Linked DNA regions of Macaca fascicularis. The protein of the gene in region 1 binds, or shares a complex with, the protein of each later gene. Links are inferred from orthologs where the notes say so. Each region holds a gene or a part of one and is shown in the gene's direction. Other genes may lie near its edges.

Region 1 (5,298 bases):
TAGATATATGCAGTAAATACTTAATGATATAATTTTTAAAAATATTTACTATTTTTACTTAGGTTGTATCCTGTGTTAGTAAATAAGACAAAATGTCAAAATTGTTAATTGAAAATATAAAGGTCAAAATTAAAAAGCAACACGTTTTTATAGGCTTGCTTTCTGTTTGTACAATGCAAGTATATTACAGTTACTCTATTTGGAAAATTGTTTTAAGTTTCTGATAAATCTTTATAGAAAGAGATTACACTAATCAGATGAATTAATACCTTTTTTCATTTTGTCTCTTCACCTTATGTTGCTGAGTTTTTTCATCTATGACATTGCTATAATCAATACATATTTCATTTGAATTATTTCAGGAATTAATATATTAATTTAAAAACTAATTTGTTAATTAGAAATCAGCTGTGGTGATAGTATTTTTTTACTGGGGATTTATCCATTAGTTTAACAGAATTTTCAGAGAGGTTTACATGGCACCTGAATAGCTAATTGGAACAATATACTAGTAGGTATGGAATGATTCCATTTATTCATATAGATCCATATAGATAAGTCTATGTGAATAACATTTATTTTGAGGTGAGAAAATTCATCCACAGAGTGTTTTTTGATGTTTCTTTATCAACCAAAGGGTGGTTTATGTTAACGTTGAAGTTGTACCCTTTTATGCCTCTGTAAAGACTAATAATGGTCTGCCTTTTCCATACTAAATATATTCCTTAGCAATTGAGTTTATATCCTTGGGACATATGTAACTGAATTGTTAGATGTTGTGTTGGTGAGTCTGTATTTAAAAGAATTCTGCATAGAATCCTTAAAGAATGCAGTGTATTAAATCTCTCCCTTATATGTCTGTTTCCTATACTAGGTTTCTTGATATGGTTCATACTTATCATGAATTTAGAATTTTATAATTAATATAATTAGTATAATGACTGTGGAAGCATAAATGACTGTCAGCCGGACCCAAGGCTTTAAAAAATTATGAGTTTAACATAGATTGAGGTTTTTATTTTATTTACAAAGTTTTTGAAGTGTTTTAAACCCTTATTTAAAAATGCAGGCAGTCACTATCATACTAGTAAATTATATAATATTTAGTCTCTTTGTGTTTTGAATCATTAATGTATTTTTTTTTCCCAAATAGAAAGAACTCTGCAACATGATACTTGATTGCTGTGCCCAACAGAGGACATATGAAAAATTTTTTGGCTTATTAGCTGGGGTGAGTTCCAGCATCTACTAAGGGAATTCTTAAAACAAATATTGTAAATTAATTATTTCTGCTTTATGGTCTGGCCTCATATAACAACATATTACCATTTTTGCTAAAAGCAAATTATTCTCTCCTTCCTCAGGTTTCCCGCTGTCTTCACCTTCCTCTTTTTCTGCTTCATTTCTGCAGTCCTTTAACTTTGCATATCACTTTTCCAGAACTTTTTGGAATTTTCCATGCTTTGTAACAATTTCCCAATAGAGAACAATTAAATACTGTCTTTTCAAAATCTCAGAGCAGTTTCTAAAGTCAAGTACATGTTCAGGCAGCTCAATTAAAGCATGATCTACAATATTTCTTTAAGCTCTACCCACATGTGATCAGCTATATGTATGATTTTGTTTTAACATGTAAATCTCAGATAATTATAAACCATGTATATTAACTTCTTTTTTGAGCATCAAATGGCACAAAAGGATTTAGTGATATATGCTCTTTGAAAATATAAAACATATTAAGTTTTGATTCAGTAAATTTAGGATTTAATATGCTCATAATTGTATTAACATTCAATTTTTAATGGTACTGATTTTTTATTTATTAGCGATTTTGCATGCTGAAGAAAGAGTACATGGAATCCTTTGAAAGTATATTCAAAGAACAGTATGATACCATCCATCGCCTGGAAACAAACAAATTGAGAAATGTTGCTAAGATGTTTGCTCACCTTTTATACACCGATTCACTTCCATGGAGTGTAAGTACATGGGTCAATATTTATACTTCCTTCCTAATTCCCTATTATTCTCAAATAGATTTTGGTATAAGCTAGCTATATTTATCCTATTATGAAATGTGCTTTAAAATGAAATGTGTAGAACTGCTGTCTTTAAGATTATCTTCATGTAATAAGGAATCAGAAAGCTAGGTAAGTAATACACGAGAAATACTGTCTTTGTATTATATTAACTGTCCAAACATGCCAGTGTTTCAATATGATGGCTAGGAGTGTCTTCAGGAAAAATACTGCAGATTTTCGTGTTCTCTTTGTACACACACATGCACGCACACTCACATCCACATATGCCACTATTTTGGTGGTAAATGTGTCTCTGAATTACTCTCCCTTGATTCCTAAGGGAATAACTCTCCGTGGATCCTCTTGTTGGGTTTAAGAAAAATGATTGTCTTAGAAAGATTCGTTCTTTTTAGCAGACATTGAAGTTGGGTAAGCTATAGAGAGGATATCCTATAGTCATAGAAGAAAGAAAGATACATTCTTGATGGGGAAATGTGCACTGGATTGAAATTTAGAATGCTTTCATTAAGTTGGCATTTATTTTACAGCTGTTATTCAACCACTGTTAGTTAGCCACCACTTATATACTGAGTCATTGAGAGAGGTGCTGGGTATTCAAAGTGAATTATACATGGCCCCTTCTTTCAGGAGGGTTACTGTGTAAGATCAGAAGTAAGATATGCCCATAGCAATGATACAAAATAAAAAGTCTTAGATTCTAAGAAAAGCAAAATTGCTAAAGGAATAGAAAGAAAGAAAGAGAAGAGAAGAGGAGAGGAGAAATTACATCCAGGAGGCAGGAGGAAAGAACAGGATTATCTTGTAGAATGCCATCCTACTAATGGTAGAATGCCATCGTACTAATGGTAGAATGAAGCAATATCTCAAACTTATAAACATTGGTTAGATTTTTATAGTACTTTTAAGTACCAAGTATGTCCAGCTGCATTAATAGGCATTTGTAATCTAACCTAGGAGACTAATTGTAATAATTTTTGACTTCTTTTTTCCCCTCTTTGAGAAAATGAAATGAGAATTTTAAACAATTAACTAATGGGCCCCCCGAACACATAACCCATAAAAACTGGAGGTTACTTTTATTTTTATTTGCCCTAAAAATATTTCTTTAGGCATTTCAGTTTTTAAGCCACAGTCTTAATATTCAGAATAAACCATCATACTTTGTCTTTTTTTTTAATCATATGTGTGGTAAACAAAATTGTAGTCTAATGTGCTAAGTGGCATTTTGCCCCAAACCCTCATATACACCACATTTTGATGAGTAAGGTATAGGAGCTAGTAATCTTTACCATTATATGCTCAAGAGAGGATATCTTCCCTGCTATAAAAAGCACATTACTCAAAACAGAGAATGAAATCTATTTCTGTAGCATCTTAACATTTTGAAAGTTAGTATAGAGAAGTTTTAAACTTTGTATCAGCATTAAGGGGAGATATTCAGAGATAACTCTGGTTGAAGATGGGAATAAATAGTAATTTTGAGAAACAAACCTACAAATATTGGTCACTCTGTCCTGTCTTTTATAAATTTAAATATACTTGTCTTTTTAAACTTTAATTTTCAGGTTCTTGAATGTATAAAACTGAGTGAAGAAACCACTACATCATCCAGTAGAATTTTTGTCAAAATATTTTTCCAGGAACTGTGTGAATACATGGGTCTTCCTAAACTTAATGCAAGATTAAAGGATGAGTAAGTTTGCCATTAAGCACTTTTTATTCTTACTGACCTCTGGTTTTCTCTCATTGTAGCAGATATAAGCCCATCCAAGATTGTAAAAACAAGTACTAAGCCCCCTAGGACATTAATCACTATGAATCTCATGTTATGTCTCACAGGACAACGTGCAACTTTTAATGGTGGTTTTTAGTTTAAATGGAGTTCAAATTAATGCCTTTTTAAATTTTCTTAGAAAATACAGAATTATTTTTGTATGCTCACTTGAATTCTCCAGTGATATTTATAATTTTATTTTCTTTTTACCCTAATTTTAAGCCTTAGAATGATAACTAATATTATCAGTGGACAATTTTGAATATATATTTCATCTATTAATAATTTTTCAAGTCTATTGCATGGAACTAGAGCCTTATTTCAGGACTATTATGTAATCCTCTCTCACCTTTCTTATTTCCTATTTATTCAGATTGCCACTTAGATTGACTTCTACTCCATTGACACTACTGAAATCATCTTTTCAGATTTCTCAGTGACCACCTGTCATATTCAGTTGTCTTTCTCAGGCCGCATGCCTCTTTACTTCTGTGCCTCACTTACGCAGTTGACCACCTGCTCACTGTGGCTCCACACTTCTTCTCACTTCCTCTCTCAGTCTCCTCTTCAGCCTGCCTCTTCAGTGTTCCTGAGTTCCACACACTGTCTCTGGACTATTTCATCCACTTCTCTTGGCTTCATATACTTACTTATTTGGTCCCTGTCTACTTGACCAGGTTCATCTTCTCTCTCTTCAGCAAGCTGTACTCCAGCCACACCAACATTGCCAAGTTTGTGAAACACATCTGGCTCTTTCATGCTTGCTTACCTCGGTTTCTACTGTTGGCATTTCCGTGTCTTCTTGATCTATCTGGCAAGCTCTTAATCATTCTTTTTATATTTTACCGTTTTCTATGAGAAAGTTTTTTCTGACTCCACTGAGTAGTTATTCAGTGCATTGCTGAAAACCAAATGTCCAAAACCACCTTGTTTTGTTAGTGTCTTTCTGTTGTCTCAGTCCATAGATACTGTAATTACATGGTCTTCATCCTTGATTTCTCCCTTTTGTTGACTACTTTCACCTCTCCCCCAGTACTTTGCACAGTTCTACATATGTGTATGTATGTGTACATACAACAGAGGAGGTTTTTAACATTTTTTGTACATATACTTTATATACATATGTGTGTATATGTATACTATATATTCATACGTGTATATATTTTTCTTTGCGTGTGTAAAAAAGGTTTTTTTAAAAACCTCCTACATTGTATAATGATAGAAATCAAGTTTGGTACATTATTACTTGACCCTACTCATTTCATTTAGATAACACGTAGCCTAACCTAATAGGTGACATCAACTTTACTTGGTTGTATTTCATTTAGTAATTTAATATATCAAAAATCTGAAAAATGACTAAGGATTTTGCCTTTTTATCTTTAAGCAATCTGTTCTCTTTTATTTTTTTCCTTTTTAGAACTCTACAGCCATTCTTTGAAGGATTATTACCCCGAGATAATCCAAGAAACACTCGGTTTG
Region 2 (5,953 bases), on another chromosome or scaffold:
CTGGGCAGAATTCCTTCACTAAATATTTCTTGAGTATCTACTGTGTGCCAGAGACTGGGCAGAGGTAAAACCTACCAAGGGCTGAGAATTCTACCCCAAGAAGGAGGGCCCCTCCCTGAGGCCTTAAGAAGGGAAAAGACGGCCGGGCGCAGTGGCTCAAGCCTGTAATCCCAGCACTTTGGGAGGCTGAGACGGGCGGATCACGAGGTCAGGAGATCGAAACCATCCTGGCTAACACGGTGAAACCCCGTCTCTATTAAGAAATACAAAAAACTAGCCGGGCGAGGTGGCGGGCGCCTGTAGTCCCAGCTACTCGGGAGGCTGAGGCCGGAGAATGGCATGAACCCGGGAGGCGGAGCTTGCAGTGAGCTGAGATCCGGCCACTGCACTCCAGCCTGGGCGACAGAGCGAGACTCCGTCTCAAAAAAAAAAAAAAAAAAAAAAAAAAGAAGGGAAAAGACTGGCGGGGCATGGTGGCTCATGCCTATAATCCCAGCACTTTGAGAGGCTGAGGCAGGTGGATCACGAGGTCAAGATATTGAGACCGTCCTGGCCAACATGGTGAAACGCCGTCTCTGCTAAAAATACAAAAATTAGCTGGGCACAGTGGTGCGTGCTGGTAATCCCAGCTACTCGGGAGGCTGAGGCAGGAGAATCACTTGAACCCGGGAGGCAGAGGTTGCAGTGAGCCGAGATCGCCACTGCACTCCAGCCTGGCAACAGAGCGAGACTCCGTCTCAAAAAAAAAAAAAAAAAAAGGGAGAAGACCAATGAGGGAGGATGGGATGGTCCATCTGATTCTGCAATCCCCACTTAGCTGACGGCCTGCGAACCTCTAGAGGAGGTCTGGGGCAGTTCCCGGGCAGGGAGGATGGAGCTTACTTCCATTCTCCCTATTTCTGGGCTCCTATTTGCTGCTCTGTCCAGCAAGAGGCAGAAAAACTCCTTGGGCACCCTGGGGTGACATGCACTTCCCAGGCTGTGGAGGCTCCCAATAGAAGCCAAAGGGCTTTGGTGAGGGTCCTCGGGCCTAGGCACACAGACTAAGGTCGAAAGTCCTGCGTCAGAGGATGTGCATAGGGCAGGGGCTGACCACAAGGACCTGAAACCTCAGAGGTGAGGCCTGCTTCCAATGGGGCTGCAGCTGGCTGGAGCATGTAGGCCACTCTGCCTTCACCCAGGCCCAGGACTTAAGATATGGTCCTTGCCTTTGTCAACCTTAATAGGAGAGGCTCTCTCAAAGAAAATAGTATCTATTTGGGCATAGGGCATTGCAAAGGTAGTATCCATGCCATAGTAAACTATATGGGTATTCAGGGAGGTAAAGAAAGAAAGGCTTTAAGGGAAAAAATAGGATTACATAATTGTTTTGAGATAATTATCCTTAGGTAGAAGAATTAGTAACAAGGGTGACCAGTTCAACGTTGGACAGGAAAGTTGCTGGGCAGATGGCCATTCAAAAGTATGTTTTGTGCAAGGTTGGGGTTTTTGCAGAATCTTTGTGATAGTTTTCATTATCAGATATTTATGCATGAGAACCCTCTTGTCATGGTTTTCTCCGACTCTGTCCGGGTTTTTTTGTTCTGTTTTTTTTTTAACACAAGTGACTCCAATTAGATTAACAACTTTTGCATTCTCAGGACACTCACAGCCTAAGCCACCTCTCTACCCCTACGTTGTCAAACGCGATGGGAGTGTAGTAAGGCCACCTCCTTCCCTGGTGCTTTGTTCCCTGTAACCACGAGTAGTAATCCATCACACACCTGCTTCCCGAGAATCCTCGAGAAGGAATCGGCCGAAGGGCTTCAGCATCCAGAAAGCCCCGAAAGCGCCACAAACAAGGCTCTTCCTCGGGCTCCCCGGTGCTGCCCCGGGCGCGCGCCATCCACCCGGCTGACAAAAAGCACCAGGACATGACCCCGTCCCCTTTGATTTCTGTCCAGAGGTGGCGGACTCACCTCGGGGCTGGGATAGAGGACGGGTCGGGGTCGCTACGCTTTTTGCAAAAGGGTCAAAAGACTGATGGGGGTGGGTAAGGAGCTGACGCCCGCGCTCTAAAGGGGCGTCCTGGTCAAGGAGGCTGGGCCGCGCCCCGCCAGCCATGGGGATCCTGGAGGTGCTTCTGCCTCGACGTCCTCCCAACATGGGTGCTGCCAGACTCCGTTGCGCTCCTGAGTTGCTCCTCACGTCATTCCAGCCGCCCGACATGGGTGCCTCACTTTCGGCTTCTGGGCCACGTCGGGGCGGCGGAGGACCCGGGGGGCCGGGCGGGAGAGTGGGAAAGGTGGGGCGGGAAAGCCGAGAGAGGCCCTCACCCGCCTTCCTGTTGGCGGGGGCGGCAAGTGGGTTTCTTTCTTGCGTTCAGATTTTGCAATAATTTGCAGCTGGACATAGGATATGGGAGACAAGGCTGCTCCTCGCAGTACACCCACCCACGCCCATACCTCCCTCGGCGAAGCGTGTCGCAGCGGGTTCCAGCGCAGGCTAAAGAGCTTCCGCAGCCAGAAAACCGAAAGCGCGCCGCGCACGCGCGCCAAGGAGTTCGGCGACGGCCCCGCCCCTCGCCTGCCTCGTCCCGCCCCTTCCGCGCCTTGTAGGGTGGGGACAGCGCGGCTTCCGCCGGGAGCCTGGAACCGAGCCCGGCAGCCGGGGGCTGGGCGCCAGTACCCACTCCGCCAGCCCCAACCCGCAGACGGTTCCCTGTCTCCCGCGCCCCAATTTCGATTTTCAGACCCAACTCCTACAGGATTCTGAGACCCCGGCCCATCTCCCCACATTCCATTTCCAGCTGCAAATTACTGCAGAGTCTGAACCCAAGAAAGAAACCCATTTGCCGTCCCCGCGTCTTCCCTCGCCAGACAGGTGGAGAGTGGGTGAGGGTCTCGCTCGGCTTTCCCCCTGCACCTTTGCCACCCGCCCGCCCGTCCCTGGGGGTCCTCCGTCACGCCGGCCATGGCCCAGAAGCCGAAGTTGGACCCCCACGTCGGGCGTTTGGGATACCTGCAGGCGCTGGTCACGGAATTCCAGGAGACCCAGAGCCAAGGTGAGAGCCACGGTGGGACCAGGTGACAGGGTCGGCTGTGACCGCCGCCCGGACCTGGCTCCAGTGCCGCTTTCCCGTTGCAGACGCCAAGGAGCAAGTCCTCGCCAACCTCGCCAACTTCGCTTATGACCCCAGCAACTACGAGTATCTACGGCAGCTGCAGGTCCTGGATTTATTTCTCGATTCGCTGTCGGAGGAGAACGAGACCCTGGTTGAGTTTGCTATTGGTAAGGGCTGGGCCCGTTCGCTAGATGGCTAAATGGGCCGGGGTGAGATAAGTGAGTTACAAGTGAGTCCTTGGGGCCTGGCGTGGTGGCTCACACATGTAATCCCAGCACTTTGGGAAGCCGAGGCGGGGGGATCACCTGAGGTCAGGAGTTCGAGACCAGCCTGGCCAACATGGCAAAACCTCGTCTCTACTAAAAGTACAAAAATTAGCTGGGCATGGTGGCGAGTGCCTGTAATCCCAGCTAAGCGGGAGCAAAAATTAGCCGCACACAGTGGTGTGCACCTGTAGGCCCAGCTACTCTGGAGGCCGAAGCAGGAGGATTGCTTGAGTCCGGGAGGCAGAGGCCAAAGTGAGCTGAGACTGCGCCACTGCACTCCAGCCTGGGCGACGGAGTGAGACCATGTCTCAAAAAAAGATGTTTTAAAAAGAGCAGTTTTGTAGCCAGGCGCGGTGGCACACGCCTGTAATCCCAGCACTTTGGGAGCCCGAGGCAGGCGGATCACCTGAGATCAGGAGTTCGAGACCAGTCTGGCCAACATGATGAAACCCCGTCTCTAACTAAAAATACAAAAATTAGCCGGGCGTGGCGGGCGCCTGTAATCCCAGCTACTCGGGAGGCTGAGGCAGGAGAATCACTTGAACCCGGTAGGCAGAGGTTGCTGTGAGCCGAGGTGGCGCCACTGCACCCCAGCCTGGGCAACAGCGAGACTCCGTCTCAAAAAAAAAAACAACAACAATTTCAGGTGGGTGAGGTGGCTCACACCTGTAATGTCAGCACTTTGGGCGGCCGAAGCAGGCAGATCACTTGAGTCCTGGAGTTCAAGACCGGCCTGGCAAAAGCCCATCTCTGCTAAAAAAAAAAAAAAAAAAAATTAGTCTGGCGTGGTGTCCCAGCTACTCAGGAGGCTGAGGTGGGAGGATTGCTTGAGCCTGGGAGGACGAGGCTGCAGTGAGCTGGGATTGGGCCACTGTACTCCAGCCTGGGTGACAGAATGAGAATCTGTCTTAGAAACAAAAGTAACTCATATTTAGTGTTTTCATATCAGGAGAAGCAGAGATGGCTTGCAGTCTGTAACTTACGGCTTCTTTTGTAGTTATGATCTTAAGACCTATTGATTTATTCACTGGGCAGATATTTACTGGGCATGTACCGTATATGTAAACTACTGCTCTAAATGCTGGAGTATGGTGAACAGGTTAGGGAAAGTGTTTGTCCCTCAGGAGCTTACATTCTAGTAGGGGGGACAGGTGGTTAGCAAACAAAAAAGATGATGCTCAGCAGCAAATAAATGGGGTGATGAGAAACAGCAGTAGAAGGTGGTGGTTACTTCCGTTTTGGCCATCATGAGAAAGGCATTTTAGCAGGGACACAGCATGGGCAAAGGCCTTAAAACAGGAAGGAGCCAGAAGGAAGATGAATGTGGCAGGATCGTTATAGTGAAGTGGAGAATGGCACAAAAAGAGGATAGAGAGTTAAGCGGCACCAGAGCTTGCCGGAGCTTAGATCTAGGCCGTGGGAAATAGTTTGAAGCAGACAAAATTTTGAGAACAAACAAAAATCCCTGTTTCAAGCCATGCACAGTGCTCATCTGTAGCCCCAGATAGGAGGATCGCTTGAGCCCAGGAGTTTGAGGCTGTAGTGTGCTACGATTGCATGATTGCACCTGTAAATAGCCACCGCACTCCAGCCTGGGCAACACGCGTGTGATCACCTGGCTGAAGTCTTGTCAGGCTTCTCCACTGTAAAATTACTCTTTCTTTCCCCTCTTTACGTATTATGTATTATACCCATTGGAAGGAAGTCACTACATAAATTATCTTAAATCTTTTTCTTTTTTTTGAGATAGGGTCTCACTGTGTCACTTAGGCTGGAGTACAGTGGTGTGATCATAGTTCACCATAAATTTAAACTTCTGGGCTCTAGCAGTCTTCCTGCCTTAGCCTCCCGAGTAGCTGTGACTACAGGTGGACACCACCATGCCCGGCTTTTTTTTGTTTTTAATTTGTTTTCGAGAGGATCTCACTGTGTTGCCCAGACTGGTCTCGAACTCGGCTTTTTTTTTTTTTTTTTTTTTTTTTAATTTGTTGTCGACACACGGTCTCACCGTCTTGCCCAGACTGGTCTTGAACTCCTGGCCCCAAGAGATAAATCGCTTGTAACCCTAAACAGACCCTCATTTCATAACACTGATTCTTGAAGGCCCCAACCAGGAATGCAAATGTTCCCCCTTCCGGTTTGTCTCATTGCCTCTTTGTGGTTTGTTTCTTTATCCCCTTTATTTCCTATAATCTAGAAATTGGGTTGAAAGTCTTGATAGGATCAAGTAACACATTTTATTTTATTTTATTTTATTTTATTTTATTTTATTTTATTTTATTTTTTGAGATGGAGTCTTGCTCTGTCACCCAGGCTGGAATGTGGTGGTGCGATCTCAGCTCACTGCAACCTCTGCCTCCTGGGTTCAAGCAATTCTCCTGCTTCAACCTCCCGAGCAGGTGGGATTACAGGCGCCCGCCACCATGCCTGGCTAATTTTTGTGTTTTTAGTAGAGATGGGGTTTCATCATGTTGGCCAGGCTGGCCTCAAACTCCTGACCTCAGGTGATCCGCCCGCCTCAGCCTCCCAAAGTGCTGGGGTTACAGTCGTGAGCCACCACGCCTGGCCCAAGTAACACATTTTT
Region 3 (6,080 bases), on another chromosome or scaffold:
TTTTAAGGCAAATGGCAGTGTTTCCAACTGTGAAGAGAAAAAAACTGCTTATTTTGTGTGTTCACCTCAGTTTAGTATTGGCACTTCCAATGCTTGTTTTCCTAGTCTGTAAAATGGGGATAATTAAGATAAATAAAATTATCCCCATTTTACAGGTGACAGAACAGCCTCACAGAGGCTAGGTAACTTCCAGAAGGAAGCAGAGCTTTTTTTTTTTAGAGACGGAGTCTCACTCTGTTGCCCAGACTGGAGTGCAGTGGCATGATCTCGGCTCCCTACAACCTCTGCCTCCCAGGTTCAAGCGATTCTCCTGCCTCAGCTTCCTGAGTAGCTGGGACTACAGGTGCGTGCCACCATGCCTGGCTACTTTCTGTATTTTTAGTAGAGATGGGGTTTCACTATGTTGGCCAGGCTGGTCTCGAACTCCTGACCTCGTGATCTACCCACCTCGGCCTCCCAAAGTGCAAGGATTACAGGCGTGAGCCACCATGCCTGGCCAGAAGTAGAGTTTCTAAGAGGCAGGTGTCAAACCCAGGCCAGACTCTGAAACCTGAGCTCTGAATATTTTGAGCTCAACTCCACAGTGACTGTATTTGTTCTATTAGAGACAACTGCAGAGAGAGGCCAAAGCTCAGAGCAGGCCACTGGCACTGGCATCTGATCCTGCTTAACTGCCCTGCAGCGTAGGATGGAGACACTTGGGTCTTGTCAGGCTAAGGGATGGGGTAGGATGGCTAGTGGTGGAATTGAAGAAAACAAATGGGCAGAAGGTGGCTGGGTGGAAGTTGAGCGGGCTATCCTGGCAGTGTTCACTGGAGAAGTGTGAGGCTTTCTGAATGCCTGCTGACACCAGGATGGGGCAGGGCTGTGCAGTGCAGTGCAGTGTGAGATACACCAAATTGGACTAGAAGCCAAGGCAGGGTGTGTAGGGGGTACCCCTGGGGCCCTCCACCTAGTGAAGCCCTATCAGCCCAGTGTCCTCTCACCAGCCCTCAGATCCCCAGCCAGTTTTCCTTTCTGGGCCTGTACTGCAACCCCCTCAACATGGCCCACTGGGTAAAAATTCATGCTTCAAGACTGATCCCCAAGCCTGTTTTATATTATATGAGTAAAGAATTTTTAAACACTTATCCCCAGATAATGTGTATTTATGAAGTATAGCCCTATCTGCTTGACTAATGTATTAAAACTGTCCTTTTTGACTCCTGGTCCAAGAAACTATTGTCTGCACTTCTGTGTAGTTGTGTATAGCATCCTGCAAATTCTGTCAGAAGTCTGTGTTTTCAGTAACACTAAAACTTCTCTCTCAAATGATACAAATTTTCAGCTTTAAGACAAGTTATGGGGAATGAATGTACAACATACTGACTATAGCTAATAATTCTGTATTGTTTACTTGAAGCTTGCTAAGACAAATTTAAGTGCCCCCCACCAAACTAGTACATAAATAAGTCTAGTGAAGGATGTTTTAATTAATTTGATTTTGGTAATCATTACACAATGTATAATTATATCCAATCATCACATTGTACACCTTGAATATATATAATTTTTGTCAAATAACCTTAATAAAGCTGGGAAGAAAACGATAAAAAAGTGACAATCTAACATATGATAAGGTAAAAAGATATTTCAAGAAATTTGGATGACCTCTTGCACCCCACTTTGCTAGCCTCTACTCCCAAGAGTCATGTTCTGGCTATGTGAAGTTGAGCAACTTCTTAAATCTTGCCAAGCTTCAGTTCTTATCTGTAAAATGTGATATTGAAACGATTTGAGAATTGTGAGGGTTAAATGAGATAATTCAGGTAAAGCTCTAAAACCCCTGCCAAGAATAAAGTCTTTTCTTCCCCCCCAAAACTTGAGTATTAGAATTCATTCTCTCTGGTTTCTCTCTTTTGCTATGCTAAAAATAGATCCAGGTCCTTTTCATTGTCAAGATGTTAGTTTCCTTCAAAAGATAACTGCGAGCTACTTGTAATATAACACCAGAAGAGTTATACAGGTCTTAGAAACTACGTTTTTCATAGTAATTATGTTGGTTTGCACTTCCTGGCTTCCCTTCTCAGACGGTAGGTACCTGGAAGCCTAGTGGAGCAGATTCTCCCCACTTGAAGATACTTATAAAAATAACGAACATAGTTCCGATGACCATATGCCCACCATATGCCCAACACTGCTCTGCGCACTTCACACAGTAGTGTTATCTCAGCCTGTGACCATTCCGAGTTAGGTGCCGGGATTCTCCCCGCTTTGTGATAACTTGCCCGAGGTAGTACAGCTAGCCAGCTATGGAACCAGCGCCTGTAGTCCCAGCTACTCGGGAGGCTGAGGCAGGAGAGTGGCGAGAACCCGGGAGGCGGAGCTTGCAGTGAGCTGAGATCCGGCCACTGCACTTCAGCCTGGGCGGCAGAGCGAGACTCCGTCTCAAAAAAAAAACAAAAAACAAAAAACAAACTCGGCTACGCTGCAGCCTGTGGCCCTCCACTTTCTTGCCCGTGCTCTGCAGTTTAGGTAACCTCTGGGGGCGGGGTCTTTTGGGTCAGGTTGTGGCCTCACAGAACAGCGCTTGCTGCGGTTGGATGGATGGGTGGGTGGGTGGATGAAGAGAAGAAACCTGGTGGCGTCGTCCCAGGGCTGTGGAGCGCCCCGAAGGTGAGCGCATCCCCCGCGAGGGCACCTGCCAGCCGCGCAGTTCTCAGCACTCTCCGCCACTTCCGGCCCTGGCCCCGCCCCCTCGGGTGGCTGGCGTCCGTTACGCGTTGAGGAATTTTGTCCCCAGCGCCGACCCGTCTCTGCCCTCGCCGCTGCCATGGCGGCAGCTCCGCCGCTTTCCAAGGCCGAGTATCTGAAGCGTTACTTGTCCGGGGCAGATGCCGGCGTCGACCGGGGGTCTGAGTCCGGTCGCAAGCGTCGCAAAAAGCGGCCGAAGCCTGGCGGGGCCGGCGGCAAGGGGTGAGTTGGTACCGGCCGGGGCGGGGCCTGCAACGACTCGCCACCCCTCACCCTTCCCAACTCCGCCCTCGGTCGCCTGGCGACTCCTTCCCTCTTGGCGGGTCTCCCGGCTTCTCCGCCGACCCCTGCTCATGCCCAGGGCCCCACTCACATCGCTTGAGGCCCCGCATTGCCTCTGCCGCCCCGCTTACACCTCGAGCCTCTGAGCAGTAGCGTCAGTGCGTTAGAGCCGGGCTGTAACTTTGATTACTCTTTTCCCGCCTTGGTAGACTTCCGTCCTCTCCCATGGAGAATGAATATTGCGCCCCGAGAATAATGGAGCGGATTCAAAGCCTCTGTGCTTGAATCTTTAGGGCCCGGTACCTGCCTGTGGGGATTCCCAAATCCCAAGGACTTGGTTCTGAATCAGAGACCTTGGATCACCTCCTGTTACTCTTAGTAATAGTCCTACTAACAAGAGAAGTTAACATTTACATAATTATACTTTTCTTGCCAGGCAACATTATAAGAAATTTAAACATAAGTTTGTTTAAGCCTTACAACAGTACCATGAACTGGGTATTATTTTCAAATGGGAAAACTTTGTGGCCCAATATAGTGGGCCCTACCAAATCGTTTTCCACCCAGAACCACAGAATGTGACATTTAGAAATAGGGTCTTTGGAGATGTAATCAGTTAAGATGAAGTCATACTTGATTAAGGTGGGTGCCAAATACAAAATGACTGTTTTCCTTTTAAAAAGAGGGAAGTATGGATACAGACACAGCAACAAAGGAAAAACGACCATGTCTAGATGAAGGCTGAGATTGGATTGGATTTATGTTGCCAAAAGCCAAGGTATGCCTGGGGCTACCAGAAGCTGGGAGAGGCAAGGAAAGATCCTTCCCTACCGACTTTGCAGGGAGGATGGCCTTGCAGACACCTGGATTTCAGATTGCTAGCTTCCAGAACTGTGAGAGTTTCTGTTGTTTTATGCCACGCAATTTTGTGGTACTTTGTTACAGTAACCCTAAGGCACTAAGATACCCAGTGAAGTCACATTGTTCTAAAGAACTAGTCCATGTTGTTTTCTGGTTTGGTGCTTGCCTTATTATTGTCCTCGTCTTTCTGCTTCGCTGACTTGTGTGGATCCTTTGGAGGCAGTGCCATGTGATGAAAGTAGCTTGAGTGTTGGAGCAGCACTGGTCAGAGTTCGAATCCTAGCTGTGCCACTTTATAGGCTGTGTACCCTTGGGCAAAGTGTTTCATCTCACTGAACTGCAGTTTCCTTATCTTTAAAATGGGAATAATACTGAATAATAATGCTTTTATGAAGTGGTGGTTGTGATTAGAGGGATTGCATTAAGTGACCCTGGCTTTTTGAATAACTTCACATCATGGCAGTCATGGTTATTATTGGGGCTCAACTATAGTTTATCCATGTAACAAGCATTTATTGAATACACTGTATTCCAGTTACTGAGGATGCCTCTGTGAACAAAAAGAAACATAGTCCCTGTTCTTGTGGAGCTTATAGTTTAGTGGGAATACAGGCTTTAAGCAACTAATTACACAACTAATTGGTGTATTTTCTTTATGATAAATGCAATGAAAGTATTCCAAGAGTTTTTAACAAGAGTTCTTAGTCTTTTTTTTTTTTTTTTTTTTTTGAGACAGAGTCTCACTCTGTCCCCCAGGCTGGAGTGCAGTGGCATGATCTCAGCTCACTGCAAGCTCCAACTACAGGGTTCACGCCATTCTCCTGCCTCAGCCTCCCAAGTAGCTGGGACTACAGGCACCCGCCACCACACCTGGCTAATTTTTTGTATTTTTAGTAGAGACAGGGTTTCACCATGTTAGCCAGGTTGGTCTCGATCTCCTGACCTCATGATCCACCTGCCTCAGCCTCCAAGTGTTGGGATTACAGGCGTGAGCCACTGGGCCCGGCCGGGTCCGTGGTCTTGAGTGAGTGTGAGATAGTGGGGGAATCCGGGAAGCAGTCAAGAAAAGTTTGCCAGACTGGGTGCGATGGCTCTCGCCTGTAATCCCAGCACTTTGGGAGGCCGAGGCGGGCGGATCATGAGGTCAGGAGATCAAGACCATCCTGGCTAACACAGTGAAACCCCATCTGTACTAAAAAAATACAAAAAATTAGCCGGGCATAGTGGCAGGCGCCTGTAGTCCCAGCTACTCGGGAGGCTGAGGCAGGAGAATGGCACGATCCCGGGAGGCGGAGCTTGCAGTGAGCTGAGATTGTGCCACTGCACTCCAACCTGGGCGACAGAGCAAGACTCCGTCTCAAAAAAAAAAAAAAAAAAAGTTTGCCAAAGGAAGTTAAATTTGTGTTAGGACCTGAAAAATGAGGAAGAGTTTCCTGGAATGAGGAAGAGTTTCCTAGCACTTTGGGAGGCCAAGGCGGGTGGATTGCTTGCATATAGGAGTTTGGGACCAGTCTGGGCAACATGGTTAAACCCTGTTTCTACAAAAAATTAAAAAAAAAAAAAGTCAGGCACAGTGGCACATGCCTGTAGTCTCAGCTACTTGGGAGACTGAGTGGAGAGAATAACTTAACCCCAGGAAGTCAAAGCTGCAGGGAGCCATGATGGTGCCCCTGCACTCCAGCCTGGGCAACAGTGTGAGACCCTGTCTCAAAAAAGAAAAAGATTGAGAAGTGTAGATCAGGCAGAGGGAAGGAACTGCATATGTGAAAACTGATGTGGTAGTAACTTGGCTCCTTCCTAGGCACCAAAGGATGACCCAGGGAGGTGTTCAACCAAGGAAGTAGCAGTAGGAGATTAAGATGACCTTGAAGACAAAGACTGGACCATGCAGGATCCTGTAGGATTTTGAACTTTTATTTTAAAACCAATAGATAAGTGTTTTTAGGCTGGTATCCTAGAATGACTCTTTTTGATCTTCTTCTTCTCGTTTAGAATGCGGATTGTGGATGATGATGTGAGCTGGACCGCTATCTCCACAAGTAAACCAGAAAAGGAGGAAGAGGAAGATGATGGAGATTTGCCTGTGGTATGTATCTTTGGGGCTCTCAGGATTTTGAAATGAAGCAAGCTTCTCAATTTTTTTTTTTTTTCAGACGGAGTCTCACTCTGTCTCCTGGGCTGGAGTGCAATGGCGTGATCTTGGC

What was found. Proteins that work in one complex are often made in the same cells at the same time.
Region 2: CWC22 (region 1) and ARMC7 share a complex: the UniProt entries of both Homo sapiens proteins name them as parts of the minor spliceosome. The link is inferred for Macaca fascicularis from reciprocal best matches to the Homo sapiens genes CWC22 and ARMC7.
Region 3: CWC22 (region 1) and BUD13 share a complex: the UniProt entries of both Homo sapiens proteins name them as parts of the minor spliceosome. The link is inferred for Macaca fascicularis from reciprocal best matches to the Homo sapiens genes CWC22 and BUD13.

The regions. Positions count from the first base shown.
Region 1 is NC_088386.1:75,510,655-75,515,952, reverse strand, and holds part of CWC22 (pre-mRNA-splicing factor CWC22 homolog), read left to right. Parts: intron 1-1,153; coding exon 1,154-1,231; intron 1,232-1,826; coding exon 1,827-1,979; intron 1,980-3,607; coding exon 3,608-3,735; intron 3,736-5,236; coding exon 5,237-5,298. UniProt on the Homo sapiens protein: Required for pre-mRNA splicing as component of the spliceosome. As a component of the minor spliceosome, involved in the splicing of U12-type introns in pre-mRNAs. Promotes exon-junction complex (EJC) assembly.
Region 2 is NC_088390.1:81,487,439-81,493,391, forward strand, and holds the start of ARMC7 (armadillo repeat-containing protein 7), read left to right. Parts: upstream 1-2,659; 5' UTR 2,660-2,952; coding exon 2,953-3,043; intron 3,044-3,126; coding exon 3,127-3,270; intron 3,271-5,953. UniProt on the Homo sapiens protein: As a component of the minor spliceosome, involved in the splicing of U12-type introns in pre-mRNAs.
Region 3 is NC_088388.1:115,624,026-115,630,105, reverse strand, and holds the start of BUD13 (BUD13 homolog), read left to right. Parts: upstream 1-2,786; 5' UTR 2,787-2,812; coding exon 2,813-2,955; intron 2,956-3,698; exon of another isoform or gene 3,699-3,749; coding exon of another isoform or gene 3,750-3,793; intron 3,794-5,677; exon of another isoform or gene 5,678-5,735; coding exon of another isoform or gene 5,736-5,773; intron 5,774-5,868; coding exon 5,869-5,962; intron 5,963-6,080. UniProt on the Homo sapiens protein: Involved in pre-mRNA splicing as component of the activated spliceosome. As a component of the minor spliceosome, involved in the splicing of U12-type introns in pre-mRNAs.